Ovis aries: one gene and its partners. The main gene of each other region encodes a partner of the protein of the gene in region 3 in a complex. Links are inferred from orthologs where the notes say so. Each region holds a gene or a part of one and is shown on either strand. Other genes may lie near its edges. The genes, in order: EIF4G1, EIF4EBP2 and EIF4E.

Region 1 (9,834 bases), on a different chromosome or scaffold from region 3:
TAACCACGGGACCACCAGGGAAGTCCCCTGCCTGAAGTTTCAGAGTGATTTCTGAGCTAAGAAGGAATCGTCATGTAAGCAGTAATTGATTTTTATTTATTAGTTTTCGTAGAAAGAGAAATGAGAACAGAGAAGGGAGGCAGCCATATACCATAATGTACAGAACTCCAAGAATGTAACAGAGAACAGCTATATGTACATTTTCATTCTCCTTATGGTTCTTCCTGTGTGTCTATTTTTGCTCTTCTCTCTTTGGAGCTTAAGTTACTCTGATACAGTTCAGTTCAGTTCACTTAAGTTGCTCAGTAGTGTCCGATTCTTTGCGACACCATGAACTGCAGCACGCCAGGCCTCCCTGTCCATCACCAACTCCCGGAGTTCACTCAGACTCATGACCATCAAGTCGGTGATGCCATCCAGCCATCTCATCCTCTGTCATCCCGTTCTCCTCCTGCCCCCAATCCCTCCCAGCATCAGAGTCTTTTCCAATGAGTTAACTCTTCGCATCAGGTGGCCAAAGTACTGGAGTTTCAGCTTTAGCATCATTCCTTCCAAAGAAATGCCAGGGCTGACCTCCTTCAGAATGGACTGGTTAGATCTCCTTGCAGTCCAAGGGAGTCTCAAGAGTCTTTTTCAACACCACAGTTCAAAAGCGTCAATTCTTTGGTGCTCAGCTTTTTCACAGTCCAACTCTCACATCCATACATGACTACTGGAAAAACCATAGCCTTGACTAGATGGACCTTTGTTGGCAAAGTAATGTCTCTGCTTTTGAATATGCTATCTAGGTTGGTCATAACTTTCCTTCCAAGGAGTAAGCGTCTTTTAATTTCATGGCTGCAATCACCATCTGCAGTGATTTTGGTGCCCCAAAAAATAAAGTCTGACACTGTTTCCACTGCTTCCCCATCTATTTCCCACAAAGTGATGGGACCAGATGCCATGATCTTCATTCTCTGACTGTTGAGCTTTAAGCCAACTTTTTCACTCTCCTCTTTCACTTTCATCAAGAGGCTTTTTAGTTCCTCTTCACTTTCTGCCATAAGGGTGGTGTCATCTGCATATCTGAGGTGATTGATATTTCTCCCAGCAATCTTGATTCCAGCTTGTGCTTCTTCCAGCCCAGCGTTTCTCATGATGTACTCTGCATAGAAGTTAAATAAGCAGGGTGACAATATACAGCCTTGACGTACTCCTTTTCCTATTTGGAACCAGGCTGTTGTTCCATGTCCAGTTCTAACTGTTGCTTCCTGACCTGCATACAAGTTTCTCAAGAGGCAGGTCACATGGTCTGGTATTCCCATCTCTCTCAGAATTTTCCACAGTTTATTGTGATCCACACAGTCAAAGGCTTTGGCATAGTCAATAAAGTAGAAATAGATATTTTTCTGGAATTCTCTTGCTTTCTCAATGATCCAGCAGATGTTGGCAATTTGATCTCTGGTTCCTCTGCCTTTTCTAAAACCAGCTGGAACATCTGGAATTTCATGGTTCATGTATTGCTGAAGCCTGGCTTGGAGAATTTTGAGCATTACTTTACTAGCGTGTGAGATGAGTACAATTGTGCAGTAGTTTGAGCATTCTTTGGCATTGCCTTTCTTTGGGATTGGAATGAAAACTGACCTTTTCCAGTCTTGTGGCCATTGCTGAGTTTTCCAAATTTGCTGGCATATTGAGTGCAGCACTTTCACAGCATCATTCAGGATTTGAAATAGCTCAACTGGAATTCCATCACCTCCACTAGCTTTGTTTTTAGTGATGCTTTCTAAGGCCCACTTGACTTCACATTCCAGGATGTCTGGCTCTAGGTGAGTGATCACACCATTGTCATCTGGGTCATGAAGATCTTTTTTGTACAGTTCTTCTGTGTATTCTTGCCACCTCTTCTTAATATCTTCTGCTTCTGTTAGGTCCATACCATTTCTGTCCTTTATCGGGCCCATCTTTGCATGAAATGTTCTCTTGGTATCTCTAATTTTCTTGAAGAGATCTCTAGTCTTTTCCATTCTATTGTTTTCCTCAATGCAATTTCTTTGCATTGATCATTGAGGAAGGCTTTCTTATCTCTCCTTGCTATTCTTTGGAACTCTGCATTCAGATGCTTATATCCTTTCTTTTCTCTTTTGCTTTTCACTTCTCTTCTTTTCACAGCTATTTGTAAGGCCTCCTCAGACAGTCACTTTGCTTTTTTGCATTTATTTTCCAATGGGGATAATAATACAATGCATAGTAATACAATACATTTTGTAGGCTATTGTGAAGATTAACTGAAATCAGAAAGGTCATCATTGGTGCAACATGTTTTCTGAGATTATATGTGTTTGAATACAAAGAGTTGGGTGGGAAGGAGAGAGAGAAAATAGCTTTTGCTAGGTACCTAGGCACAGTTTTAAGCACTTTCACAAGAACTAACTTTTTTAAACCTCACAATCCAATAGCGGGAAAGCAGGGTGGGTAAAAGCTCAGAATTGAGGCAGACTGCATAGTTTCAAATACTCCCATTTTACAACAAGTATTAAGTAGGGAGGTAGTAGGTACATCGCTGGGAGAGTAAGCAGAGAAATTTGGATTAAAACCAGGCTGACTCTAAGCAGTTTTGTCTTTAGTATGTCCCTTCAGGCAGTTCAAAATTTTTTGGCTGCCAGGGAGAGGTCTTGGATTTACTTATCCCATCACTATTTGAACTTTCCATGACTGATTTTAGTCCCTCCCTGGGAGTGGCTGATCTTTGTAAAAGACAAATCTAACTCCCTACTTGCTGCTGCTGCTAAGTCGCTTCAGTGTCCGACTCTGTGCGACCCCATAGATGGCAGCCCACCAGGCTCCCCTGTCCCTGGGATTCTCCAGGCAAGAGTACTGGAGTGAGTTGCCATTTCCTTCTCCAATGCATGAAAGTGAAAAGTCAAAGTGAAGTCGCTCAGTCGTGTCTGACTCTTCGCGACCCCATGGACTGCAGCCAACCAGGCTCCTCCGTCCATGGGATTTTTCAGGCAAGAGTACTGAAGTGGGGTGCCATTGCCTTACTCCCTACTTAGAATATTTCAATTCTTTTAGCGTTATCACCCAGTTTAATAGTTCTATATCTAATTTACATTATTTTCAAAGGCTACCTAATTTGTCTTTTTTTCCGTTTTTGTCCATGGTTTACTTGGCGGGACCGAGTCTTTAATGTCAGTATTCTCAACCCTCAGCCAGCACTTCGCCTAGCACTCAGTATGCACTCAATAAATGCTTGCTCAAAGTATGAATGAACCAAAGAATCGCGGAACACAGACGCGGAGACGGGTCGGCCTGGGAGTTCCAAAGTTCGGGAGGGGACAAGAGGCGGGCAGTGGCTGTCACATGATAAGGCGGGGCAAATCCCATGTGCTCCGCGGCGCCGGGCGCTGCTCCGCCCTCTGCGCCGGTCACGTGGGGCTGCCGGCTGCGCCTGCGGAGAAGCGGTGGCCGCCGAGCGGGATCCGTGCGGGGAGCCGGAAATGGTTGTGGACTACGTCTGTGCGGCTGCGTGGGGCTCGGCCGCGCGGACTGAAGGAGACTGAAGGTAAAGCCGCCATGTCCGGGCCCGACCCGGCCCCCCCACCCCCTCCCCCCGCATCCGCCGCCATCCGGGCCGGGATCGGCTACCCTGCGCCGCCGCCCCAGCGCCCTGGCCCCGCGGCCCAAGCCCGGGCCCCGGCCCGCCAGGGCCCGATCCCCGGCCCACGTGTGCCCGGCCTGGCTCGGCCTGGCTGCTGGGTGGGGGTGGGGGAGCGCGGGGCCGGAATATGCGGTCCCCGCAGGCCGGGAGGGCGCCGGGTTTCCCGGCCGCTAAGTGCCACCTCGGCCCGACCCGAGGAGGCCTCGCGGGCGCAGGCACCGCGGCTCCCGGCCCGCCGCCCCCTCCCCCCTTTGCGGCCCGGCCGCCGGGAAGTGACACGTTGTTCTTTGGCACTGGCCGGCGCTGCGCAGGGAGGGCGCAGGGGAGGGAGGCGGCGGCGGCGGGCAGGGAGGAGCCCCCGGCCCCGCCCGCCCTCCGGGCCGACCCTCACTTGCTTCAGACCGGCTCTTCTTCGGCCGCCGCCCGCCTGGCCTTTTACGGCCCGACTGCCGCCTTTCCTGGCCTCCACTGCCGGGCGGCGGCAGGCCTCGCCTCTGGCCCCGCGTGGGTGCCTCCGCTGCTACCCACGGCAGGCGTGCCTCGTGTGCCCCTGGGCCAGGCCCCGAACCCGGTGTCCCCGGGTGGGGGGTGGGGACACCACGGCCGAAGCTGCTAGCTCCGTTTGTGATCCGGGAGCCTGGTGCCAGCGAGACCTGGAATTTCCGGTCTGGTTGGTCTTGGGCCCCGCGGAGCCAGGTTGATACCCCTCACCTCCCAACCCCAGGCCCTCGGATGCCCAGAACCTGTAGGCCGCACCGTGGATTTGTTCTTAACCGAGGGGGTGAGTGAAGGGCTGTTTCAGCAGATCGAGGGGTGGTTGGAGGTGGTGAGGGTTTGACGGAGTGTTGGTGGGGACATAAGCTGGGTCTTTAATGTTCCTTTACCCCCTTGGCGCCTCCCGGGCTCATTGTGGGACCCAGCCCTTGCTTCAACCCCTCCCCCACTCCATTTGCCTTAAGTTTGTGTCCCTTTCCTTTTCTGAGCCTCACTCTTTCCCAACAGGTGCTGGGGGGACCCTGATGTGGCACCAAATGAAATGAACAAAGCTCCACAGCCCACAGGCCCCCCACCTGCCCCATCCCCTGGACTCCCACAGGTAATTAGGGAGGAATTAACAGGGACTGGGGTGGGGGTTGGGGAGACCAGGCAGCCGGGTCAGGAACAGGTTCCAACCTCTGGATTTTCCCACCCCCTTCTGTGTCAGGGCAAAGTGCAGCTTCCTGCTGCCAAATTGAGACAGGGCCCCCAGGCTGTTCCCAGGGGCTGTCTTGGGGAGGGTATATGTGGACTGTTGAGGCTCTTGCCACGGATCTGCTCCCCTTCATCAGCTTGAGTTTCTGCACCACCTGGGTTTCCCCTCTTGCTGAAATCTGGTCTCCCCCCTTCAGCCAGCGTTTCCCCCGGGGCAGACAGCACCGGTGGTGTTCAGTACGCCTCAAGCGACACAAATGAACACGCCTTCTCAGCCCCGCCAGGTGAGGGGCTGTGGGGAGGGGAGTAGGGGGCCTGGGTGGGAGCCATGTAAAGCTTAGGCCAGTTTGGGCCTAGGATGGAAACTCTGGAGGCCCTGTACCTGCCCCAGTTTCCTGACAGTTGCTATGTGTTCTTTCATGCGGCTCTGCACTTTGCACTGTTGATTACTCACGGTGGCTGGCCCCTCGGAGAGTATGTTGTTGGTGGGGATGGCATTGCTAGGGGTTCTGGTGCCTTGAGAACTGGGGGCAGCGCTTTGGGCCCTGCTGCCAACTCCTGCTTTCCTATTTCCTCCTTTTACTAGGAGGTCGCCATTGCTCCGTTCCTCATCCCTTCTTTCTCTTTGGACTGTGGGAAGAGAAACATTCCAGCTGGTTCTTACCTTTCTCTATTCCTAAATTCTTCCTCACTAAATGGGAGCGGATTCTTGTCCTGCCTCCTCATTTTTTTCCCCCTCATCACCTTGGGGATAATTCTCTTCTTTCCTGTCCCCATGTGCTCTCAGGGAGGATTCAGGTCTCTGCAGGTAATACCCCTTTGCTAATCCTGGACTCTCTCCTGGTCTCACCCTTACCCTCCTCCCTAGTCAGGGGCTAGACGCAGGGACTGGGGTTCCTCAGGGTGGGGACTTGTTGGTTGTCCAGGTCCTCAGTCTGAGGCTGACCAGTGCATGTTAGGGGCTAAATCTTGCATAGTGCCTATCTGGGAACTGGGAAAGTTGCATGTTAGCGGTTAGCTCCTCAGGACGTTAGGATGGTGCAGTGCATGCTGGGGAGTATGCTGCTGAAAAAGGCTTTACTTAGGCATGATGCATCTGGGTGTTAGGAAGCCTCTGCTAAAGGATAGCGTGGAGGAGGTGACATGAGTATGCATGGCAGGGAGGGAGTAAATATACCGAGTGCAAAGTGTGTACCTGAGTTTGGAGGGCACACGTGAGTTCAAGAGGCCACTTAACCATCAGTTGGTCAAGTGAGTCTTGGCAGTGTTGGTCCCATGTTCCAAAGCCCCTGGTACTTCTCTCCAGACTAGAGACATAGTGGAATGGCCATTTTGCTGTCCACTTCCTCCCCTGCCCAGTGCCAACTGCCTTCCTCCCTCCTGACAGCACTTCTACCCTAGCCGGGCCCAGCCCCCGAGCAGTGCAGCCTCCCGAGTGCAGAGTGCAGCCCCTGCCCGCCCTGGCCCAGCTGCCCATGTCTACCCTGCTGGATCCCAAGTAATGATGATCCCTTCCCAGATCTCCTACCCAGCCTCCCAGGGGGCCTACTACATCCCTGGACAGGTGAGGCTGGAGGCTTGGGTACTGAAGCCACACAACCTTGTCCCCGCTCCCCCACCTCCCCCAACCCGGATCCTCCAGTCCCATCTCTCCTCTAGAGGTGGGACTTTCTTCTGGTCATTGCCCAGAGTTGGCTTGTCCTGTCTTGCCCTGCATTCTCTTTGTAGTCTGATGTGGTATTCATAGCTCCCTCAACTCCTTCTCTCCCCTCCTTATCCCCCATCCCCTCCATCAGGGCCGTTCCACATATGTTGTCCCGACACAGCAGTATCCTGTGCAGCCGGGAGCCCCAAGCTTCTACCCAGGTGCAAGCCCTACAGAGTTTGGGACCTACGGTAAGCGGGGTCTGAAGTCGGAGAGTGAGTCCCAGGGAGCATTTAAACTTGCCTAATTTCTAGGACCCTTCCCAGGCCTGTCTCTTGCTCTAAAAATGATAGCGGTAGTCAGGATTGGTGCTTAATATGTAACTGGTATTGGGGGGTGGTGGGGAGAGGATTTTACACTATTGTTGAGAGTTGTAGAATCCTCCCCACATCAAGGAATATAGTTCAGGTGCTAGTTTGAGGACCTGTCAGTAAATATTCCCTGACACTTGTTCCATGGTTGGGGGGAGCCCATGTAACATGGATTTGGGAGGTTTCTGTAGCTGTTTTTCATTTATATTCTAGGAAAGGATTAGTCTGTTCTTTATGGCAGTGGTTTCCAAAATTTTTTGACCATCAGGAAAAATTTTGAGTATGTACTTCTAATACGTGTATGTTTTTGTTTGTTATACGTATGCATAATTTAAACAAATAACAATGTTGCTTGTCAAAAACAAGTGGAGGTTATGGATGATATTAAAGAATGTATCCCATTTTGGAGACCATTGCTTTAAGGAATTTTCCTCATCCTGGGCCTGGTTCATAATGTTACTTTTTGTTTCCTTGCCCCTTAGCAGAGGGCTGGAGACTGGAATTGGACTCAGGTTGAATGGAACAGGGTTGGCAAATCTGTTTTTATCATTCCCAGCCAAAGACCTGATTCTGTTTCAGGTTAAGTAGTTGCTGCTCTCTAAGAGTATATGTGTGTGTTTGCTGGGGGTGGGATGCATCCATGTTACCTTACGGGGTAGAAGAGGAACAGACATAGTAGCTGGTGTGTGGTGGGGAAGGAGTGCCTGCCTACAAGGGGTGTGTGTGTCAGTGTTAGGAATTCTTGTAAACGCAGTTCAGACTGGTTCCCCAGCTTTGACAGACACCTAATTCCCTTGGGGAGGAGGAGGGTGGGGCAGGGTAAGGGGCCGGCTATGGGTGATGAGAGGTTCTCCGGGGGCTGGGAGGCATTTGTGCTCAAGCAGGCATTTGTATGTGGTTGGGCCCTGACCCTGCCACTATTCTTCCTTTCCTTGTCCCCCCCTCCCCCAAGCTGGCGCTTACTACCCAGCGCAGGGTGTGCAGCAGTTTCCCACTGGTGTGGCTCCCCCACCTGTTCTGATGAACCAGCCACCCCAGATTGCTCCCAAGAGGGAGCGGAAGACGGTGAGTAGCAGCAAGGGGTTGTAGGACAGCTGGGAAAGCAAGGATCAAGGTCAGGCACTTTGTGGGTCAGGGAGCAGGAAGTTGAGGGAGATCTTCACCTGAGAGTAGGCAGAGAATGGGGATGTGCGAAATGCTCAGGTTGTTCTTAAGGTACTACGATTTCAGTATGGAAGAAGCTCACTAGAAGATTGAAGTGTCTGGTAGGGAAATTCTTGAGAGACCTGGGTTCTCTGTCCATAATATCTAAGTTTGGTTTTGGGTTTCTGGTGGCTTGCCTTGAAAATGGTTTGTTTTCTGTGTCCCCACCCCCCAGTCCTGGAAGCTCTTGAGGCCTCCGCCCCTGCTCAGTCCTCAAGCCCTGGGCGTGGTGCCCAGAATAGGGTGCCAGGGCTGGGGAAGCCGCTGAGTCACCCTGGCTCCACCCACTGGATCTGGGCCCTGCCCCCAGAGATCAGGCAGACTAGCCACAAGTGAGCCGGATGGGTGCTAGATGGGGGTCCTGGGCCCCCAGGCATGCAGCCACTTCTTGGGGACTGGTGGGGCAGGGATAAGGGAGGGAGGGGCATTGTGATGTACGTGTCTGCTCTGTGAGGTCAAGAGTGTCTTAGGGGTGGGGGCCAGGGCAGAGACTACAAGAGCTGCCGGATGGGTTGACAGTAGAACTCACAGGGTTTCTGGCACCCACCCACCTGCTTCCCAGTAGGGGGTGGGGGGGTTGGCTTGGAGTCTCAGGAGCGGGGCAGGGTGGAGAGGTGGGCTGCTCCTGTTTCCCACTTATCCCGTAGCTTTTTTTCCCCAGATCCGAATTCGAGACCCAAACCAAGGAGGGAAGGATATCACGGAGGAGATCATGTCTGGGGCCCGCACTGCCTCCACACCCACCCCTCCCCAGGTACTGTCTGTCCTTTGAGTGATGCCCTGACTGGGATGGCTGTTCTTCCCTGGATTCCCAGGTCCCTTGATCTTTTTCTTCAAATAAGGGATTTATTTCCCTGCTTTCCTGGATTTCTAGGCAGCTAAAGTAGAAATGGCTGTAGCAGGGTTGTGGGACTCTTCAGGGCAAACTTGGTAACCCTTTGTGTTCTGCAGACGGGAGGTGGTCTGGAGCCTCAGGCTAATGGGGAGACACCCCAGGTTGCTGTCGTCGTCCGGCCAGGTAAGTAAGCAGGTGGGGCCTGGCTCTTATGGGGAAAAGGAGTGTTGAAAATGCCAAGGAAGTAGAGTGACTTGAACTGGGTGTCAGAGAAGAATGACTTAGGTCTCAAGTATAGTAGTATTTAAGGGCAGATTGGATTTTGAGTGGGAATGAAAAAGACCTAGGGGGAGAAGACTGGTATGTGTAGGAGGGGCTATTAGGTTGGGAATGCTTGGCTGGGAGGAGGAACAACAATCACAGGGAAGGGCTTGCCTCTGATTACCTGTTCTTCCTATGGTGCAGATGACCGGTCGCAGGGAGCAGTCAGTGGGGAGCGGCCAGGGCTGCCTGGCCCGGAGCACAGCCCTTCAGAATCCCAGCCTTCGTCACCTTCTCCGACCCCGTCACCACCCCCAGTCTTGGAACCGGGGTCTGAGCATAATCTCGCAGTCCTCTCTGTTCCTGGGGACACAATGACAACAGGGATGATACAGACCTCTGTAGAAGAATCAACCCCCACGCCCCCTGAAAGTGGGGAGCCATGTTGCCTCTCTCCAGAACCCACTCCCCTCGCTGAACCGATATTGGAAGTAGAAGTGACGCTGAGCAAACCAGTTCCAGAATCTGAGTTCTCTTCCAGTCCTCTCCAGGTTCCCAGCCCCCTGGCATCTCACAAGGTGGAAATTCTTCCTGAGCCTAATGGCACAGTGCCATCTGAGAATTTGGAACCAGAGGTGGAGTCAAGCCCAGAGCTTGCCCCTCTCCCTCCTCCAGCTCGTCCCTCCGA
Region 2 (9,778 bases), on a different chromosome or scaffold from region 3:
CCAAAATTATTTTGGCTGAGTCCATATAAAAACAGAAAATCTGACAGTCCTTAGTTATTGATTATGACATGTCCACATACCAAAATATTTTTTGTCCATACAAATCCACGAAGCCTGAATTTTACTCAAGACAGAATATCAAAAAATTGAAAGGACATGATCTTTACACACACACACACGTAGTCAAGCCTACAGTTGTCTCCAAACCATGCAAGACCCCTCCCATAAAATCATTTTTAAGACATCAGTCCTCAAAAAGTCCTTGCAGAACGCTAGCAGTGCCAGCTTACAGATGCACGTTTCACCCGTAGGCCTTGGGAGAGCAGAAGGGAGTTGCGCACTACCAGCCTGGGTGAGCTCCGTCTTCCCTCATCAGGTTGTGTCTCACCTGGAGCAGGCAGAGGCGCTCTGCTCCACACAATACACTGCTGCCCACCCTGCAGCCGAGGGCTGCTGCCTTCCCGGGCAACCTCTCATCGGCAAACACGAACCCAGCACAAATGTGCACCCACCGCAAAACTGAGCTACATCTTCTGGTACACACTTTGGTGGCTGATGAATATGAGACTAAAGCCAAATCTCCTCTGGAATGACAACACATGTTAATTTTTGTTACTCTGAGGTAAGTAAATGCCATCTTCCTTGAACACAAAGCAAAGTGACTGAACAACTTTCAACACGTTTTTCATGCACTTCAGTTAAAAACTGAAACTACAGAGCCAAACAAGTACATTTGCTGGTTCAGAAATTTTTGGCTAGAATAAACTCAGGTCACTGTATTAGAAACTTTATAACAGTGAGAAACTGGCCTTCCTTCCCCATATCTACAGAGCTCTATTCACTTCTCCCAACCAAGGAACTAGATTAACACTCAGGACTCTCCCCAAATACTCTTACTTTATTATGGCTCACACCAAGTGGATTCCTTTCCTTTCTTCCTGTCTTCTCCTTTATCCCCAGACCCTTCCAATGGCCTTCAGGGAACCAACCAATTAGAGCCAACTCTTCAGCTGGCAGACAGGATGCGCAAGGGTGTGAACAAGATTTCAGACTAACAGTTCCCTCTGGCGCTCGTTAAGGCAACAGCATACTTTCCCACAGCTGAGGAGGATGTTAGGCAGGAAAAGTAAGGCAAGAAGAAAGGCTCAAAGAGGTCTCTTTGTTCATTCCCCAGAGCACAACCCTCTCAACAAGGAGACAGTTTGAAACTCATTTAAAAAATAAATAAATAATAAGGTAGCAAAAAGTATCACATTATCTGGCATTCCAGAGGTAGAAGAGCCTTCTTAAATGTTTGCAAACTTCCTTTCCTAGGAAAATGTGCATCTTAAGACAGCAGAGAAAAAACCTGGAATAGGAATGAGGACACTAAGTTTGAGACTACCAACTGACATTAATTAGCTGTATGACACTAACAAGTTACTCAATTTCTCTCAATTATAGAAGGAAAGCATTAGGTCCTTTCCAGCTAACCAGACTGTTACAAAAGTGAAGCAGACTGTAATAACTTTACCTTTCATTGAGGCTAGAAGCAGCTTCTCAAAGGATGAGCCAAATGTCATCCCTATTCCTCCAAAGGCAGATAAAACAAAACAAAATAAAAACCCAAGGGCGTTTTGCTTTGAACTTGGTCAAAAATTTTGTTCTTCCTTAATAATGAGAAAAGGGTATGCTTCTAAAAACATGGGAAATGTAAGAGGTTACAGAAAGTTTTCATTTCCCAACTCTCATTTTCCAACCACAGAAGGCAATTTTGAGAAGTCTTTTCAAGGGTAAGCTGTATCCTCTGTGGGGAGATGGCAAGTTCATCATGTTGTCAATGTCTCTGCCCAGTCTGATCATACGGGGCATTCAGCACATCAGCGGTTATCTAGAATGCTCTGACCTGTGTATGACACGCTAGAAGCTTGAGACAGGAAATTCTAATCCCCTTCCTTCCTACTAAATAGAGATTTCCAATGCAAGCCTACTATCACTTTCTAAATGTTTTCCAAGTCTGAAATATGTAACTTAGCACTTGGCTCTATAAGCTTTTCATTTCAGAACTAAAAAGCTTTTCTACCACCAAGATTTTAAGACCACTGAGTGAAGATTGCATTTCCTACTTTTGTCTGTGGTCCCCTTTTGTGCAAAGCACTGCCCTGGACCCACATAACTCACTGAAGATACATACCTAACCACATCAATTCAGGTGCCTAAAGGTGACCAATAACCATGATTCAGGGAAAGAAAATTACATAGAAGAGAGGGAAATGTAACAAAAGAAATGAACAAATCATCAGAAAATTGGAAATTTTCCAAAGGGAGGGGGAATTAAACCAGTAAGTACTGCATATCTAGGTGGCACTGAGGTAACTGCTATAAAACAGTGTTTAAATCCAACCACAACAGTGCTATATCTTATAAACATATTAGGTAGGTCTTTGTGTTAAAAATTTAAAGATCACAATGTGCTCTACTAATAAATAACAGCTCTGTGTAACAGAGGAGCTAAGATTTAAGTATTTAAATCTGCAATTAAAAAGCAGAAACCATCTGGGGACAGGGTAAGTGATATTTGAGAAAGTAGATGAGGATTATGTATGTAGGGAGGAAGGATAAATGATTCAGTATTTCCGGCAGAATCTTTCCCAAACACTGTAGGAACTAATTCAGACTATCAGATAGGCTTGTATCTTTAAGGCACACTTAAAGACTATGCCCTTACTTTAAAACCATAGAAGCTTGGGTGTTTCAAATATGCCTAAAGGTGCCCCTGAGGTTTTTCCCTCAGAGGAATAATGATTAATATACAGCTAAAAGTTTAGTTCCTTCCGCAAATAATTATCTGCTACTATGACATTGGTTCTAAACTGCTGGAAGCACAGGCATTACAGAATTCACAAGGAATTCTGGAAGAAGTTATAAATTTCTTTCCATCACCTCGGAAAACAATATCCATTTCTTAAACGCTGTCAGCTCAAGTTCAAGACAACCTATGGAGAGCAGATCCTGGTTTGCCAAATCTTTCACGATTAAAAGGCGTGCTCAGAGGCTGGCCTTGACCCGATGAGGTCAGGAGGGAGGTTTCTCCAATGAGGTAAGCCACCTCACTAGAAACTCCACTGTTCCACAAAGTTAAAACTTCCTTAAGCCCAGTTCTCCACATATATCAATGAACGTGTCCAGCCTGGATCATTTGAAAGTATTCCAAGGCAGCCACGCCACCCCTAGAGTCGCCTGGGTGGATTCCTCTGTAGAGCTCTCTCCACAGATTTCTTATTCCTTGTTTGCAAGATCTTACTCTACCGTCTTGATATTGTGCAATGATTAAAAAATGGCCCAGGCCTAACAGCAAGGGATTGGTTGGAGCACAACTGGTGAGCCCAGCCCACAGGAACCAAGCTAGCAATCCCGTAGACAGCAAGGGCTGCCAGCAAAGTCCCAACCCTCTAGCCAGAGGCCACCATCAAAAAACTAAGTAACCAAGTTAAAAACGAAGCACCATTCCCCTCATGAGGTCCCTCAAGATCGCTCTCCAGTCTTCTCCCTCTGGAGAAAGCCCAGTCAGGGGACAGGCAACCTTTGAGCTCCCTTTTCCCGTGACCAATTAATTCCAGGCTCTTTACCTCTACCCCAGTGTTCTTCCTTGTAAACAGTCTTGGTCGCACTTTGAAAAGCAGTGCTCAGTGACCCCGTTCTGCACGGCCCCTTCCCCCGGATGAAGCAGTCCCGCCGGGGAGGGTCCCGTCTTCCACCTACCTCCACAGGCGTCGCCACCAAAACTCTACCCTCAAGGCTGCCAGCGCTCCTTTCCCTGGGCTATTACTTGAGCATGATTTTATCACTTCTCAGCCAGCCTGGGGACTCCCCCCACCCGTGGGGCCTCGTCCAGCGAAGTAAACAATGCTGTCAAAGCAGGATAACACTGGGCGAGGCTTCCAAACTCCGCATTCCAGCCTCCCCCCTCCTGGAGTTCTAGAAGCAGCAAAACAAGTCATCGCAGGGTCCCAGGAGCAAACTACTCGCCCCAACTTCCTTTCTAAAAAGGCCGGGAGACAGCTCCAAAATCAAGCTTCAGTGTGCACAAAGACACTATACGTAAGAGGCAGAGCGAATGCGGAGCGAGTGCAAAGCCAAGTGTAGACGAATTTGCCCTAGAGTAGGGGCGGGGGAAGGAGAAAACTGGGTCGAGTGCGTAAACCTGCCACGAAGCGGGAACAGGGGCTTTTTTTTTTTCACGAGAGGAGAGCCAGCCACGTTCCCAGAGTAGGCACGCACTAAACAGAGTTGCGGGAGAGAGAACGCGAAGTTAAGGTTCTCGAAAGCAGTCTCTAGCGGGTTTCGGGGGAAGCCCCAAGAAAGGGACTTTGGTGGAGCCGGGGTGGCCCGAGCGGCCCAGAGTGGATACGCCCTGAGTTAAAGGACCGTGGCGGGAAAGTGCGGGGACACCGCGGAGGTTAGCGCGGGCGCGCTCGGGCCGCGCGGGCGCCGACGCTCACCTCCCGGTGTGGTGGAGAAGAGCGTCCCCCCGGGCGTGGTGCAACAGTCATGAGGTAGCTGCGCGGCGTCGCTGATGGGCACGGTGCGGGTGGGGATGGCGCGGCTCTGGCTGGGCTGGTGGCCGCTGCCGGCGGACGAGGACATGGCTCTGGGCGCGGGCTCTCGGGCTTTGTCCGGCGGGCGGGCAGGCGGGCGGCGGCGGCGGCTGAGGGCCCGGGCTGCTCCAGCTGCTCAGGCGGGCTGAAGGGCGGGCGGGGCTAGGCGCGCTCCGCTCGCTCCTCGCTCGCTTCCTCTGGCTCCCTCGTCCCGCTCCGCTCCCGCCGCCGCCCTCTCAGCCGCCGCCGCCGCCGCCGCCCTATCCTCCGGCCTCCGCCAGCAGCCTCAGCAGCAGGAGCAGCGGCAGCAGCGGCGACGACGACGACGACCGGAAGCGGGCGAAGGCGGGAGCCAGAGGGAGGTCGGGGTAGCTGGTCGGCCGGACGTGACGTCACGAGGGCGGGTCCTGAGCCGCAAGGCTGCTGGCGGGGCGGGGCTTATGCCCCGAGGGCGGGACGCGAACCGGACTGAACCTACGCCAAGTGTTTGTGAAGTGGGCGTAGGTGTGCTTGGAAAACTTGTGTGGGCTTTTTATTTTTATTATTATTGTCAGTCAACACTATTTGAGTTGACTTCTGTTTCCTATATCGAGGCAAAGTGTTATTTTACTTTTAATTGTTCATTATTAAATGAAAGGAAAGTGTGCATGTATTAAAAGACGATCAGAATGGTTTATGGTGCCACCGTGCTCAAAGGGTAACAAATTGTTTCGATAAGAAGTCGGAGAGTAAATACTTTAGGCTTTACAGGCCTTATGGTCTCTGTGGCAAGTTTTCAACGTTTGTTGCTCTAGCGAGAAAGCAGCCTTCGACAACATGTAAATAAATGCGCGTGGATCCAGTAAGACTTTATTGACAAAAACGGGTGACCAGCTGGATTTGTCCTGTGGGCCATGGTTTGCAGATCCTGTCTTTGTTTTTGTTTTCGTTTGGTCCAGGTACACGTCTTATGATATCTTAGCTCCCCGACCAGGGACTGAACTTGGACCCGGGCAGTGAAAGCACCCAGTCCTAACCAGTGGACCACCAGGGAATTGTCCTGTCTTTGCTTATATTATACATTAATTCAACAAATCTTTAATAAGTACCTACTGTGTGTGTCAGGAACTTTCTAGCGGAGAAGGTATAGCAGTAAACAAGACAGAGGCCCCCTGGCTCAGTGGAGTGAATGTTCTGCTTGGAGCAACGGGGGCTCTCCTCCCCACCTTCCCTTCACTACCTAACCCAGACTGCTATTTAATACTTGGTGTGGGTGGCACTGGGCTTTCCAGGTGGCTCGATAGTAAAGAGCCTGCCTGCCAATGGCAGAAACATAAGACATGTGGGTTTGATCCTGGAGTCGGGAAGATCCCCTGGAGGAGGGCATGGCAACCCACTCCAGTATTCTTGCGGAGAATCCCATGGGCAGAGGAGCCTGGCAAGCTACAGTCCATAGGGTTGCAAAGAGTCCCACATGACTGAAGCAGCTTAGCACACATGCATGTGGGTTGGCCTGCTTTGACTTTCCTTGTGCTGTCAGAGTCGGGTCTTTGCCCTAGGAGCTCCCGTAGTGCCCTGTGCACACTGATGTCACTGGTACCAACCTTGTGCATGAGTGTTATCTACTTATGCCTCTGGTTCCCTTCAAGACTGACTACTTTAAAGGCAAGGACTGGGCCCATCCTCCCCTCATAGTTTGGAGCCTAGCTCAGAATCAGCCTGTGGTCTGCGGTATTAAATTGACCTTAAGAAGTCTTTGTGGAGACTGAGAAAGAAACATTAGACACAGTTGTGGGCAGTTTGGCGATGGAGGGACCTTTTCAGCTGAGAAGTTGTGTTTATCAGCTGGGTTATGTGTACCTCTTTCAAAAGTGCATGTCCACGAATTTTGACAAATGTTTATTTTACATCCTTGTAAACACCACCACACGGAAAATCTGCGACATTTCCTCACACTCAAAAGTTCCCTTTACAGTCATCACTTCACACCCCAAGCCTCAGCCTGAGAGAATCACTGATCTGCTGTCTATCGCTACAGGTTAGTTTTGCCTGTTCTAAAACTTTATAGAAATGAAATCACACTGTGTGTATTGTTTTACACTTGGCTTCTTCACATAGCACACTGTGTTGCAATATCAGTAATCCACTCCTTCTTGTGGCTGAGTAGTGTTCCATTTATGGATATACCACAGTTTATCAGATAAGAATTTAAAGGGAAAATATCTGTTGTTCCCTTTCCCAGAACCTACCATGGGGAATTAGGAGGGTCTTGGGTGGCGGCCTCAACTGTACAGGCTGTGTATTATCTCTTATATTAAGAATATTGTGGTTTATATTAGGAAATATGTATTTGTTCTCAGTCCCTGTTCCTAGCACAGAGCTCCTAAGACCATTAAGACTTCCTGAGGGATGAGAGTGATCTAGGTGTCTTTTGTGATGTCAATGTGACTTTTGAAATGCCCTTAGGTCACCCAAGAAGGAGAACTGGTCACCAGTGAAACCAGCCAGGTGATTTGGAGCACTAGAACTTTCATTGTCACCTCTCTGACCTCTGGGGAGGGCAAGGGCTGGAGAGTGAGTTCAATCACCAATGGCCAATGAGCTAATCAATTATGCCTGTGTAATGAAGCTTCCATAAAGATCTAAAAACGATGCACAGAGAGAGGCTCAAAGAGCTTCCAGGTTGGTGAACGTATGGAGACTTGAGGAGAGTGACGTGCCCAGAAAAAGCATGGAAGCTCCACTTCCTTTCCTCATACTTTGCCCTATACATCTCTTCCATCTGGCTATTCTGTTTTTAATAGTGTATTTTTTTTTTCTTATTGGAGGATACTTGCTTTACAATGCTGTGGTGGTCTCTGCTATACATCAATGCAAATCAGTCCTGATTATATACACCCCGTCCCTGTTCAGCCTCCCTCCTATCTCCCTCCACTCCTCTAGTTCACCACAGAGTGCCAGGCTGGGTTCCCTGCGTTTCACAGCAGCTTCTCACTAGTTATACACCTGGCTGTCTGAGCTATGTCCTTTTATAGTAAACCAGTGGTCTAGTAAATAGCAAGTTTCTCTGAGTTCTGTGAGCCACTCTAGCAAATTAATCAAATCCAAGGAGTGGGTAACTGGAACTGCTGATCTATAGAAGGTTGGTCAGAAACACAGATGACAGCCGGGACTTTAGATTGGCATCTCAAGCTGGGGGGCGGGGAGCCCTTAATCTGTGGCATCTGATGCCATCTCCAGGTAGTGTTAGAATTAAGTTGAATTATAGGGTACCAACCCAAACAAAAAACAAGTGTAAAAAAAATAGGGACTTGCTTGGTGGTCTAGTGGTTAAGACTCCATGCTCCCAATGCTAGGGGTGGGGGTATGATCCCTAGTTGGGGAACTAAGATCCCACATGCTGTGGGGTACAGCTAAACAAACAAAACAAAACAAGACCCAAGTGTACAGGGTACTCAGTTGGTCTTGGAGAATTGCCTGTTGGTGAGGGGGAAAAAAATTTTGGAATTGGGGGCAGAATCTTATCTCTGAATGAGGTTAGATAGTTGGTGATTTGAAAGCTGCTGATGCAATTGTGACCTCTGGATCCATACCTGATGTACTGCCAGGATAGAATGTCCAATATATACCACATCTGGAGAGCCCTTTCTTGGAAATGTTAATGTTAACTAATATAACTTGGTTTCAAATAACAGAAGTGACCTGGGTGTCCCCAAATTAGGGGTTCTCCTTCTGTAGCCAATTATTCCAGTGTTTAGCTAGCAGGCCTTCCCCAGATTCATTCCTTTTAACGCCCCTGTACCTACCTGCTACCACCTTTCTCTCTGGTTTCATCTTTCCTGGGGCAGAGGGAGGCTCTTTTCCCCCGCCCTCTGTATTGAGGCCACCCACACCCGATCTGTATCATCATAGGGATAATAGCCCCTTATCTTTAGATAACACTTTTCCACTTTAACAAGCACTTTCAGACCATTATCTCACTTAAGCTGAGCCACAGCCCTGTGATGGAGGCAGCCTACTTATTATTCTTTTCATTATTATTATCTATATTATTCTTCTTACATTTCACAGATAAAGAAACTGTGACTGAAAGAGGTTATGACTTCCTGAGCTTCTGGTTGGCCATTCTATGTGCTTCTTACTGTGCCCACAGGCCTCCCGCATCATAAAGAGGGTAAGATGCCCCCTGGCTGAAGTGAACTCGCTCAGTTGTGTCTGACTCTTTGCGACTCCGTCAACTGTAGCCTACCAGGCTCCTCCATCCATGGGATTCTCCAGGCAAGAATACTGGAGTGGGTTGCCGTTTCCTTCTCCAGGGGATCTTCCCGACCCAGGGATCGAACCCAGGTCTCCTGCATTGCAGACAGACACTTTAACCTCTGAGCCACCAGGGAAGCCCCCTGGGTACCCGTTCTTTATTGTCATATTCGCTGAACTCATGGGGGGATGAGCAGTAGTCGTTCTTGAGCTCCTAACCCATAAAATACCGAATGTGTACAAATGGTGATAATAATCATAAATAACTTTTATAGACAGTGAGGCTGAGTCACCTGCTGTTCTAGGCCTTCTAGAGATCTTATCTCTAATACTGCCAACTTCCGTACAAGGCGGATATTATTATGTCTGTTTTACAGATAAGGAAGAAGCCTCAGAACCCACCTGCCAATGTAGGAGACAACAGATGCGGGTTGGATCCCAGGGTTGGGAAGAAGCCCCATGGGAGGACATGGCAACCCACTCCAGTATTTTTGCCTGGGAAATCCAACCGACAGAGGAGCCCAGCGGGCTACAGTCCATGGGGTCACAAAGAGTCAGACACGACTTAGGGACTGAGCCCACACAGGCACATTCAGAGAGGCTAACTTGCCTGACATCACCTGTGTCTCTGAAAATTCTCTAGCCTCTCGTTGTGGTTGGGAACGCTCCACTGTGGCCTCACATGTACACTGGTTCAAGTGCTGGGCCTCCCACCTGCTTGCCATGTGACCATGAGTCTCAACGTGTTCCCTCATCTGAAAAATAGGAGGGGTCCCGCATTCACAGAGTGCTCTTCTGAGGGTTAAATGTCAGGCTCAGCCCGGTTAGGCAGATAGGAATGATGATTAGGCACCAATCCCAGTCCAAGAAGATGATGGGGGCCCAGAGGCCGAGGGCAGCATGTCTGACTGTCAGGGTTTGTGTTTCAGTCTAGGTATGTCGTCCTTCAGAGGCTGTGTCAGCTG
Region 3 (10,013 bases):
GAAATTTATATTCATGTGATATTTTATCATGGTAATTATAGTTAACATAGAGTGCTTACTATGTTCTAAGAACTATTCTAAGCATGTTAATGGGTTAATTTATTTCTCACCCTGATCATGCAAGGTAAGTACTGTTATTGCCCCATCTAACTCATGACAAAAAATGAGGCAGAAAGAGACAGATATCTCCATATGGTCACACAGTAAATGGTAGAATGAGGATTATGAACCAAGAAAATTTGATATTGGAGCTCATGCTCACAAATACTAAACTGATTGTAATTTAAAAGATTATTCATCATGTTAGAAGCCATCATTTTAGGTCCTTCCTAAAGTAATATCATTGTAGAAAGTGACAATAGCAATTTAAAAAATAGACTGTCAAGTATAACCAAGTTTGAGAGTGAAAAAAGTGAAAAAAAAAGTGAAATGGTTTTTTAAAAAGTGTTAACTAGAGGTTGATTTAGATTATCTCTAAAATTAATACCCAACATTAAAATATTAAGAATCATTTACTTTATTATGGAATTTCATATCTTCAGTCTCAAAACCTACTCATTTTAAGACAAATGATTGCTTTGTACTAGTCAGAGTCTAAGAAAGGGATCTAATTTAAATAGATTGTCTAAAATTCCAAGGCCTATTTAAAAAAATTTCTAGACCGTGTTGCAGTAATATTTTTGAGGGATTGATCATGGCAGATGTGATTAGTTTGAACCAGAGTTAAACAGTGCCCAGTAAAACAATGACTTTGGTTATCTAGAAAATCTAAATAAAATTTGAATGACAAAATACATGATAAAAATGATGTGGTTTTTATTATGTATTTTATTAAATTATTTAAAGTCTTTTTACCAAGAGTTAAATCTATAAAGACTAGTAATGTATCAGCTTCAGGAATATACTATGCAAAGAAAAGATCATGACTAATTACAGATGTTAAATGATAACCAAATTATTCCAGGCTTTTAAAACAATAATTTCACTTCACTTCACCATGATACTGTGCTGGGTCATTAGTTATGTATTAATTATATAACCCCAATAAGTATAAAAGTATTTTTTTTATAAAAGCATTTTAATACCATATCCCATAATAAATATCCTGTTATTATGCTTTAAGTACAAGCACAAAAATGTACTTTTTCTGTGGATTAAAAGATAAAGTATAAAATTTCTGCTCTGTGTATTTCAGGTTGCTAAAACAAAACAACCATATAGATACATAGATTAAAAACCTAATCACCAAGTCTTCGACATGGCAGAATCTGATGGTAATATTAGGCAGACATATGAATGTGCCATAAAACACATGCAACAAAGCTCATACAAAATAGAAATTAGCTACAAAGAATAGGAGTATATACACATATATTGTAGAAGCACTAAGATGACTGATAAAAGTGAGGTGTGTTTTATCAAGAGCAAAGCTAATAAAATGGAAGCTATCATTAAACACAAGTTTTAAAAACATCACTGGTTTTCAATCCCACATGGGGACTAAAATCTCTTTAAATTTTAAATCTCTTTTGTTCTGTTATCTTGTAGCACTGGGAAAATAATACATCTATACTATATAGTCAGAGCGGGTAACAGGATACTAATTTTAAACAACAGAAAGTAAGACTGAGATCGACTGTAATTACTTTGCATAGGCTAAAAGTAGATAGTCTGTAAATAGAAATCCATATTATCCATTTATTTTTTCAGAATTCTACTTTAAACCTACTAAAGCTAAACTGACTGGTCAGAAGCTTCCATTAACTGTCTCTGACATCCAGGTAAACCAAAGCATATGAACAGGCCATGGTTTTTGAGTTCTTATTACAGCCTCAATTATGTGTTAGTCAACTCAAGCAACCATTATGTACTCAATAATAGGTATGACACAGTTAAGAACATCAGCAACACAGCAAGCAGGCAGGCACAGGCAACCTGCTTTTACTTATTTTTCTGGTGTGAACATTCTTAAAAAGCATGGAAAGTATCATTAAACCTTAGAGTAGCACTCTACTAGATATCTTTACCTCTATTTATAACCGTGCAGAGTAACACTGTCTTGAGAAATGACAGCACAGTATCCTACATGGAAAGGAAATGTAGGATGCCATAGTGGGGATGAATTTCTAATTGCCAGTGATTATTGTGAATATAACAATATTTTCCTGAACATTAAAGTCTCTGTGGAGGGTAGCTACAGTTAAAAAGTGGGGGGGGGGGGTCTTGTCTTGAAACTTTAAAATTGCGTTGGTGTATACGATAATGAAACAAAATACACAAAAGAAAAAAATTTTAATTGTTTAAAAAAAAAAAAACATTAAGGGAAGCCGCTGATCCTTAGGAAGACACGAGGTTGCTTATAGTGAAGCATTTATAGAGTCCGATGCATCTTCAAAACTGGTTACAATCACTAGCACAGCAAACCCTTGTGAGGTAAGTGTATTATTACCTGTGGTTCATAAATGAAAAAGCTGAGGCACTGACTAAGTCGCTTGCCTAACGAGAATGAGTCAACGTCAAGAGTCATAGTTGACCTAGCCTAACGACTCCTGACGGTCAGTCCAGGGCTTAGTCAGCGGGGGCCGGAGTGGCTTCCCTGGCTGGCACCTGGACTTGGGCTGTTTCCGTTCACGTTAAAGCAGAACAGTGGAAGCGAGAGGACACAACTTGCAAATCATTTTTACTTCCACTCAAGATTTAACCCTGAAGTCTTAATTTCAGGAGTTGAAACAGGAAAAGCTGTTGGGTGCATTCCCCCTCCCCCAACCTGTGGCAAGTGGGTACTGTGGGCGGTTCCGCCACCCCCTTTTCGCAGTGATGGCAATGAGTGACCACCAGTGTTAGCGGAGCCAAGGGACCGGGGAGGGTTGAATAATAGTTGCTCAAACAACTATTCTCCATCACCAACTCTTTTTAAAACTAAGAGAAAATGGTGAGAAGTCAAAAGAAAATTAAATAAACACACAGGCAACTCGTCCTAGGACCTCAACTAAGCAAATGAAGCCTTATTGAGCGTGCTGAGCCTTCGGTTCTCAACCTTCCGGGGAAGATGGGAGGACAGGGCGACAAAGGGCACAGTAGGCATGCCTGGCAGTAAGTGCGACAGCATCTATCCAGGCGGAAGACCAGAGGACTGAAAACCACCCTGCAGAACGCAAGTGTCCGCCGCTCCGAGAACCGCGAACCGTACCCACCGACCACGTGAACAGTTCTTTTTTTTTTTTTTAACTTCTTTGCCTAAAAGAAAAAAAAAAAAAGGAGGGAGCGTGAGAGACTTCACTTCCCAGAAGCCTCTCGTTAAACACGCAGCCGCAGTCTTGCGCAGGCGCCGCCAGGGCCAAACGGATACGTCCGTCACGTGAACAGTAGCCGGCCAATCCGGTTTGAATCTCCTTTTTTTCCTCTCACCCCCCCTCCCCCTTCAGGAGCGGTTGTGCGATCAGATCGATCTAAGATGGCGACTGTGGAACCGGTGAGTATTGCCTTTGGCCCCCACCCCCACCGGTCCCCGCGCTCGGTCTCCCTTCGGACTGGGGGACCCCGCGGGACGGCGTTCCCGGCGCGCATGCTACCCCTTGCCGCCCCCTCCCCCTCTTCTTGGGCCTGACCTCCCCGCGGACAACTGGGGGCGCCCCGGAGGTTGGCCGCTACGGCGTGTGGAGCACACGTTCTGGTGGGGGCCCGAGAGCTCGGGGAGAGGAGTGGGGGAGGGGCGGCGCGGCGCCTCCGGCGGAGCCTTGAGGGGGCCGCGAGGATGGAGGGTGTTCGGGGCCCTGGGCTAGGGTTGTGGGAATTGTGTTTTCGGGATAGGAGGGCGCGGAGCCGGCTCCGAGCAGGCGTCGGGATCCGCAGGGAGGGTGGGCGGCGAGCCGGCCTGGAATGAGATGGAGGAGGGCGCCCCGGGGCAGCCTTTCCCTCTCTCCCTCCCGAGCCTCTCTCTAGCCCAGGGACTCGGGTGCGGCGCGCGTGCCGGGGTTCATTAGACCCGTGGGCCGGGAGGCCGGTGGGCTCGCGTTGCCAGAAGGTGGGTTGGGCGGGAGTGGTGCCGCGGCACGCGCGGAGAAGCTTCGACCTCGCCGAGGGGAGCCGAGAGGGGCGAGCGCATGTTACTCCAGCGCGTCGGAGAGTTGCCGGGGTTGGCGGCAGGGGAGGCGAGAAAGGTTTGGAGTGGGGAGGCGAACCCCGTGCTGCGCGGTAAACCTCTGAGAGGAGGATGAAAGTTGGGGGGTGGTTAGAAGGGGGACCACATTGTCCTCGCCCCTCCGTGCTCGAGACCGGGCTGTCATGGAGGAGGGAAGGGGGAGGAGCGAGGCCTACGGAGAGCTGCTGCCGGTCTGGTTGCCGGCCGGACCGGCTGCATTTCACACGCGCCTGTCTTCCATTCATTCATCTTCGCGCTGTGCGCACGCCTCAGAGAATGGGACTGGGTCTAGATCCGTCTGTTCTTCCGAGTCTTTATCGTCTGGAAGATATCACAGAGCAGTTTATTGGAAATAGAAACTTAACTTTTCGAGTTAATTTTCCATTTGATTTTCTCTTTATCCGTTCTACTGGTTTCCCTCCCAATTTAGGTACCATCTTAAACTTCTCTGAAGCAAGTTGATCCCAGAGCACAAAGTTACCGCTCAAAGGAGAGAGTATCTTTGTCATAGTTTGGTTTTGCCTGCACTGGCTCACTAAAACTTCCAGGCTTATGTTGCCGTTTTAGGAATGTCGCCATCTAAGTGATAATTTAGAGGCGTAATACATTCACCAGAAAACCTTTGATATCTGGAACTAATTCCAGACCTTCGTTGCCAGATGTTTTCGTATATCTTTAATGATAGTTTGTGATTTTGATTATGGCTTCCCAATTTGCTTTGACTCTTTAAAGACTTCTATAACTACTTTGAAAACGAGGTATAGAAAGGTCTGTAGAATACAAAAATGCTTATTTTTCATTACATTGATGTGAACTATCTTGAGCTTCCTGCCAGAGTTCAAGGCAGAAAGCTTGATTATTTCTTTTATTGGTACCAGTATGCGTTTATTTTCCTGGAAATTAGATTGACTACAAAACTCTTAAGTTGCTGATACAATTAACTGATTTTTAGAACATTGATGTTAAATAGCTAAACGATAAATATGTAAAACCTTAAACTTAAAACCTTTTAATGGGTTATGGTATTACTTACAACTCTTTTGCCCTCTGTACTAGCATCAGTTAAAAGCTTACAGCTGGTAATAAGGGCAAGGCTAAACCCTCTAAACTAAACAATAATGTATTCTCTGAAGTTTCAGTAATATTTATTTAGGTCCTTTGGGTTTTGCAAATCTATGCTATTTTGTTTCAACAGCAGGGAGCAAAACTACAAAGTGTTGAAGGAGTGTTTTCAGTCAGTAAATATTTATAGCCCCTGATATGTTTAGGAGTTTGTACCAGGTGCTCTTGAAGATACAAATTATACAAAATGGGATTCTATACCTTGTTCAGTGTAAACTTTTAGAAGCTTAATTTCTAGTGATCCTGGTCAGTGATACAGTATAGTATTCCTTCTAGTTGCTGACCCTTGGGAGATTTGAACACTGCATTTAAATTTGGGGAGTAGGGAACATAAAAATCTGGTTTGTGAAAGTCGAGAGCCAGATTGAAACTATAGCAGTTTGAGGATGCTTGTAAAATACTTTAAAGGGTTCATTTTTAGTGTAAAAAATGCGGTTTTTTGTTTGTTTGTTTTGTTTTTAGTATTTTTAATGTACCCTTGTCCACAGATTAGTCGTTTAGAATTCTTTTTGGCAATTTTAAATAGTGGGATTTTTTTTTTCAAGCAACTGAATAGTATTTGTTGCAATTGAAGTATCCCTGTAAAAGCCTACAAAAAAGTGTGTTTATTCATTGCTATTTCAGTTAGCTTGTGAGTTTCCTTATTCCTTTTTTGCTGGGCATAATCATAAGCACCTAAAGACTCATAGGTTTTTCCTGCTTGTCCCACCTTGGTTGGCATTTGGGGAATTTTTGTCTCTGAAAGTTATGTAAAATATCAGTCATTGTCAATTTGATATTATGTGATTATCAAGTGTGTGTATGTGAGATCAGTTAAATTAAGATGTGTCTTAATGAATCTAAAAAACATGATAAAAATGAACTTACTTTCAAAACAGGAATGGACTCGCAGACATAGAAAACAAATTTTTGGTTACCAAAGGGGAAAGGGAGGAGGATGGGATAAATTTGGGATTAACAGAAACACACCATGATATATAAAATAGAGCACAGGGACCTGCTTTATAACACAGGGAACTATATTCGGTGCCTTGTAATAACTATAACGAAAAAGAAGGTAAATGTATGTGTGTATAGATTTAAAACTTTGCCAGTATACCTCAAATTAGCACAGCTTTGTAAATCAACTATACTTAAAAAAAAAACACCCAGGACAGAACACAGTTCAGTTCAGTTGCTCAGTCGTTTTGGACTCTTTGCCAGCCCATGAATCGCAGCACCTCAGGCCTCCCTGTCCATCACCAACTCCCGGAGTTCACTGAGACTCCCATCCATCGAGTCAGTGATGCCATCCAGCTATGTCATCCTCGGTCGTCCCCTTCTGCCCCCAATCCCTCCTAGCATCAGAGACTTTTCCAATGAGTCAACTCTTTGCATGAGGTGGCCAAAGTACTGGAGTTTCAGCTTTAGCATCATTCCTTCCAAAGAAATCCCAGGGCTGATCTCCTTCAGAAAGGACTGGTTGGATCTCCTTGCAGTCCAAGGGACTCTCAAGAGTCTTCTCCAACACCACAGTTCAAAAGCACGACAGAACACAGGGACACACGAAAGGATACTGAATGATAATAAATTTGTTAAGAAGGTTGATAGGCAAATTAAAGGAACCATTTATCTTAACAGGTACTGTGGTAAAACTTTGAACAATACTCTCCTGTTACTCTGTTGGCATTTGAATTGTGGCCAGGTCAGAATTAGAGCTTGTGAGTAGATCAAAGTTAGATTTAATATCAGTTGATAAAAATGGCAGGCCATCTTGCCTCCAGTGGGACATTGTTTTGGTAGCTTTTATCTTCATTCTGTTTTCTTCATTATTGGGTTGTTTTTTGACTTGTAATTCTTTTAAAGATAAGATATTTTTATTTCTTTAGTTAAACTGAAGGTATATAATTTTACTTGCTTTTACATTGTATCTTTTCAATTTTTTTAAACTATACCTTTGTTTCATAGGTGGAATCCACTTGGACAGTCAGCTAATCTAATGTTTCCTTTTTATCCCTTAGAAACATGTTTTGCAGAGAGTTTATAAAAAGTAAATCTTAAATTCATGTGGCAAATATGTTATATAAGGTGATGTTTTTTGCTAAACAAAGACTATTGACAAGCAGATCTTGCATATTAATATGGGTGTTTTTGTTTTAAGAAAACGTAGTGTTATCAGAGTTCATTCATCAGTCAAAGAAACTTGGTTCTAGTGTTTATATTTTACATTTTACTTTGTTTTTTTACTCTGAATTAATATTATGCCTAATTATTTGATTTAGAGAAGTCCAGCTTAGAAACAGACATAGTTTGCACTCCAAAGTTGCAGAGAATAAGATGTTTAATGAATTATGTAACCATAATCCAGTTTGGATAGAAAACTCTACACACACAAAAAATGTTTGTTAAGTATTCTATTTAATTTATATAAGATTAAGAATATAGAAGTACCTACAGTCCTGGATGTAACAAGGAACCTGTGAAGTAGTAGTTATAGCAATGGTAATTTTTTCCTCTCCTTCTCTGCTTCTATTGGAAATTTTCTTGCTGTTTTGGAGTTGCTCCATCTTTGTCATAGAGAATTTTTTGAGAAGTGGAAATGAGCCTGAATTTACAGTCTAATTTTAATATCTATGTGACCTTGAAATTTCTAAGGCTAGCTGAAAAATGGGAATACGATAGTGATTTTGATTTTCAAATGCAATGCTCAGAGATGACAATTTGTCAGTTACGAAGAACTAGATAAAGTTAATATTCCGTCGATGTGTTGCATGCAGGTGTATTCATGCATGGGTATGCTTACCTTTTCATCTCTGCTACGAGATTCACGTAGCTGACTTTATTTTTCTTTTCTTTGCCATTATTCAGAAATACAAAACTTATTACCCATTCAGTATCTTCTCTTTACAGTAAAAATCAGCAGTGTTCTCTTTAAAAGTTCCTATATGTGTCTAGAGAAAAAAGATGACTTTTGTCTCTTAAGTACTATGTAGTCATTTCTAGTCTCTTACTTCTAGAACCTGAGAATGTGATCAGAAAAATAAGATTTTTTTCCCCCCAGTTGGAGCTTTTGATACATCTTTCATAGAAACAGTGGGAAGCTGTAGTTTTTGCTCACTGTGTTCACTAAGAGTCTGTGGAATTATAACAGATCTAACCAGCCTTGCATTTCCAGGGCTACAGATTTAAAGTTCTAAGCAACTGACTTAATAGAAATGTTCTTTTAAATAATAGTCTGTAATAGTGAACTTTAACTTAAGCAATCTTTATAGGTTAATAGTTAACACAGCACTTACTGTATGTCAGGCATCTTACTAAGTGCTTTACGTATATTCATTTAATTTTTTAGCAGCCTTATGAGGTAGGTATTATTCTTATTTCGCAGATAAGGAAACCAAGGCACGGAGAGATGAAGTAACTTTGTGTGACTAACTTCCCCAAGATCGCACAGCTAAATAAGTGGTGGGGTGGAGTTCAAACTAAAGCAGCCAAGTTCCAGAGTGTGTTAAACGTGACACTGTCTTTCCAACAGGCATATAATGCGTGTTCCTTGTGTGACTTGGAATGATTAATTTGATAAACTTAATATTTTGCTACAGCTCTAAAAGAAAATATGTGGACGTTTGTTTTTAGTTTCTGTTGTACCACAGTGTTTGCTGATATCCAAAGTATAGAATCTTAAGGAAATAGCAACGTGTCCAAAGTCTGAGGACTAAACAAGTTAGTTACACTGTTCATTCTTCAGTAAATGGTCTAGGACTGACTTTGTGGGTTGATTTCTAAAGTAAGGGAATGATCTCTTCCCTTCTCCCCCTTCTGATTTGATTTCTGGACCTTGTCAATTCAAATGATTTGATAGGTGAAATATTTTGCTAGTTGAAACAGTATAGTAAAATTTTTTTTTAATTTGCAAATACGAAATCTGTTCTCAGCTAACTTTGTACTTTTAGTAATTTTGGTGAAAGGTCTGGCAAAGAGTTAAGCAGTTGTTTTGAAAAAGGTTCAGTTATAATATGTTACTCATCTTAAAAGTTGAAGTATTTGGGGGAGGTGGTAGTAATATGGCTAAGATTTCTCTGAGTAATCTTTGCAGCAAATTCTTTGCAGTAATCTATAAAGCTAAAATTTCTTTAGTTATGTATTTTAAACTTGTTACTGTAAAATGCTGTGCTTATTACAGTCAATAAGAATTTAATATTTATGTGAACTAAAAAATTGTTATAAAAAATTCTTACGGGGTTTTCCATGGGTCATCTTAGGATAACAGTTTATGTAACCACAAAGTCTGATAACTTAAAGTATTAACTAAGGCAAGAAATACTTCTTTTTCTTGTAGGTTTTAAAAAATTTTAATATGTGGATAAATACTTTTTATTGGTGAGATATTCACATTTCAAGTAACTAAAAAAAAAAAAAATTTCTGCAAGGGTCACATAGTTCCTAAGTGAGAGTGCTGGAACTCAAACCCAGGTTCTGTCTACAAGCTTTATTACTACACTTAGAAAAAACAAACTAAAATTCAACCAACACTCAGAAGTCCAACTCTTTACCTTCAGGAAAAAACTCCTACCTTAATGATAGAATTGATTCATAGGTCGCACACAAATAAACATAAAATCAAATCTGAAAGGATGTATGGGTGGTGGCATGATGGGATTATGAGTGATACAGTTTATTTTTTTGTTTTGAACTTGTACAACTTGTATTCTCAACCAGTATTAGTAAAATCACCCTTGGATCTTGATTTGTAGTTAATGTTATTTTAGCTTTT

What was found.
Region 1: the proteins of EIF4E (region 3) and EIF4G1 are in contact, whole or in part, in a crystal structure (PDB 5T46), measured with the Homo sapiens proteins. The link is inferred for Ovis aries from reciprocal best matches to the Homo sapiens genes EIF4E and EIF4G1. Residues at the interface, in NP_001959.1 of Homo sapiens: Pro31, Tyr34, Lys36, His37, Pro38, Leu39, Gln40, Phe47, Lys49, Arg61, Leu62, Ile63, Ser64, Val69, Glu70, Trp73, Ala74, Leu75, Tyr76, Asn77, His78, Ile79, Gln80, Leu85, Tyr91, Glu132, Leu135, Ile138, Gly139, Glu140; in NP_937884.2 of Homo sapiens: Glu608, Lys609, Lys610, Arg611, Tyr612, Arg614, Phe616, Leu617, Leu618, Phe620, Gln621, Phe622, Ile623, Phe624, Ala625, Ser626, Met627, Gln628, Lys629, Pro630, Leu633, Pro634, Ile636, Asp638, Val639, Val640, Leu641.
Region 2: the proteins of EIF4E (region 3) and EIF4EBP2 are in contact, whole or in part, in a crystal structure (PDB 3AM7), measured with the Homo sapiens proteins. The link is inferred for Ovis aries from reciprocal best matches to the Homo sapiens genes EIF4E and EIF4EBP2. Residues at the interface, in NP_001959.1 of Homo sapiens: His37, Pro38, Leu39, Gln40, Val69, Trp73, Tyr76, Asn77, Leu131, Glu132, Leu135, Ile138, Gly139, Glu140, Ser141, Asp143, Asp144, Ser146, Asp147, Arg186; in NP_004087.1 of Homo sapiens: Pro47, Thr50, Arg51, Ile52, Ile53, Tyr54, Arg56, Phe58, Leu59, Leu60, Arg62, Arg63, Asn64.

Annotation. Positions count from the first base shown.
Region 1 is NC_056054.1:203,652,836-203,662,669, reverse strand, and holds the start of EIF4G1 (eukaryotic translation initiation factor 4 gamma 1), read left to right. Parts: upstream 1-3,475; 5' UTR 3,476-3,544; intron 3,545-4,364; 5' UTR 4,365-4,421; intron 4,422-4,642; 5' UTR 4,643-4,676; coding exon 4,677-4,736; intron 4,737-5,028; coding exon 5,029-5,115; intron 5,116-6,218; coding exon 6,219-6,395; intron 6,396-6,627; coding exon 6,628-6,727; intron 6,728-7,060; exon of another isoform or gene 7,061-7,127; intron 7,128-7,799; coding exon 7,800-7,912; intron 7,913-8,711; coding exon 8,712-8,804; intron 8,805-9,001; coding exon 9,002-9,068; intron 9,069-9,350; coding exon 9,351-9,834.
Region 2 is NC_056078.1:25,808,262-25,818,039, reverse strand, and holds the start of EIF4EBP2 (eukaryotic translation initiation factor 4E-binding protein 2), read right to left. Parts: upstream 4,919-9,778; 5' UTR 4,627-4,918; coding exon 4,482-4,626; intron 1-4,481.
Region 3 is NC_056059.1:26,238,619-26,248,631, forward strand, and holds the start of EIF4E (eukaryotic translation initiation factor 4E), read left to right. Parts: upstream 1-3,441; 5' UTR 3,442-3,454; coding exon 3,455-3,472; intron 3,473-10,013. UniProt on the Homo sapiens protein: Acts in the cytoplasm to initiate and regulate protein synthesis and is required in the nucleus for export of a subset of mRNAs from the nucleus to the cytoplasm which promotes processes such as RNA capping, processing and splicing.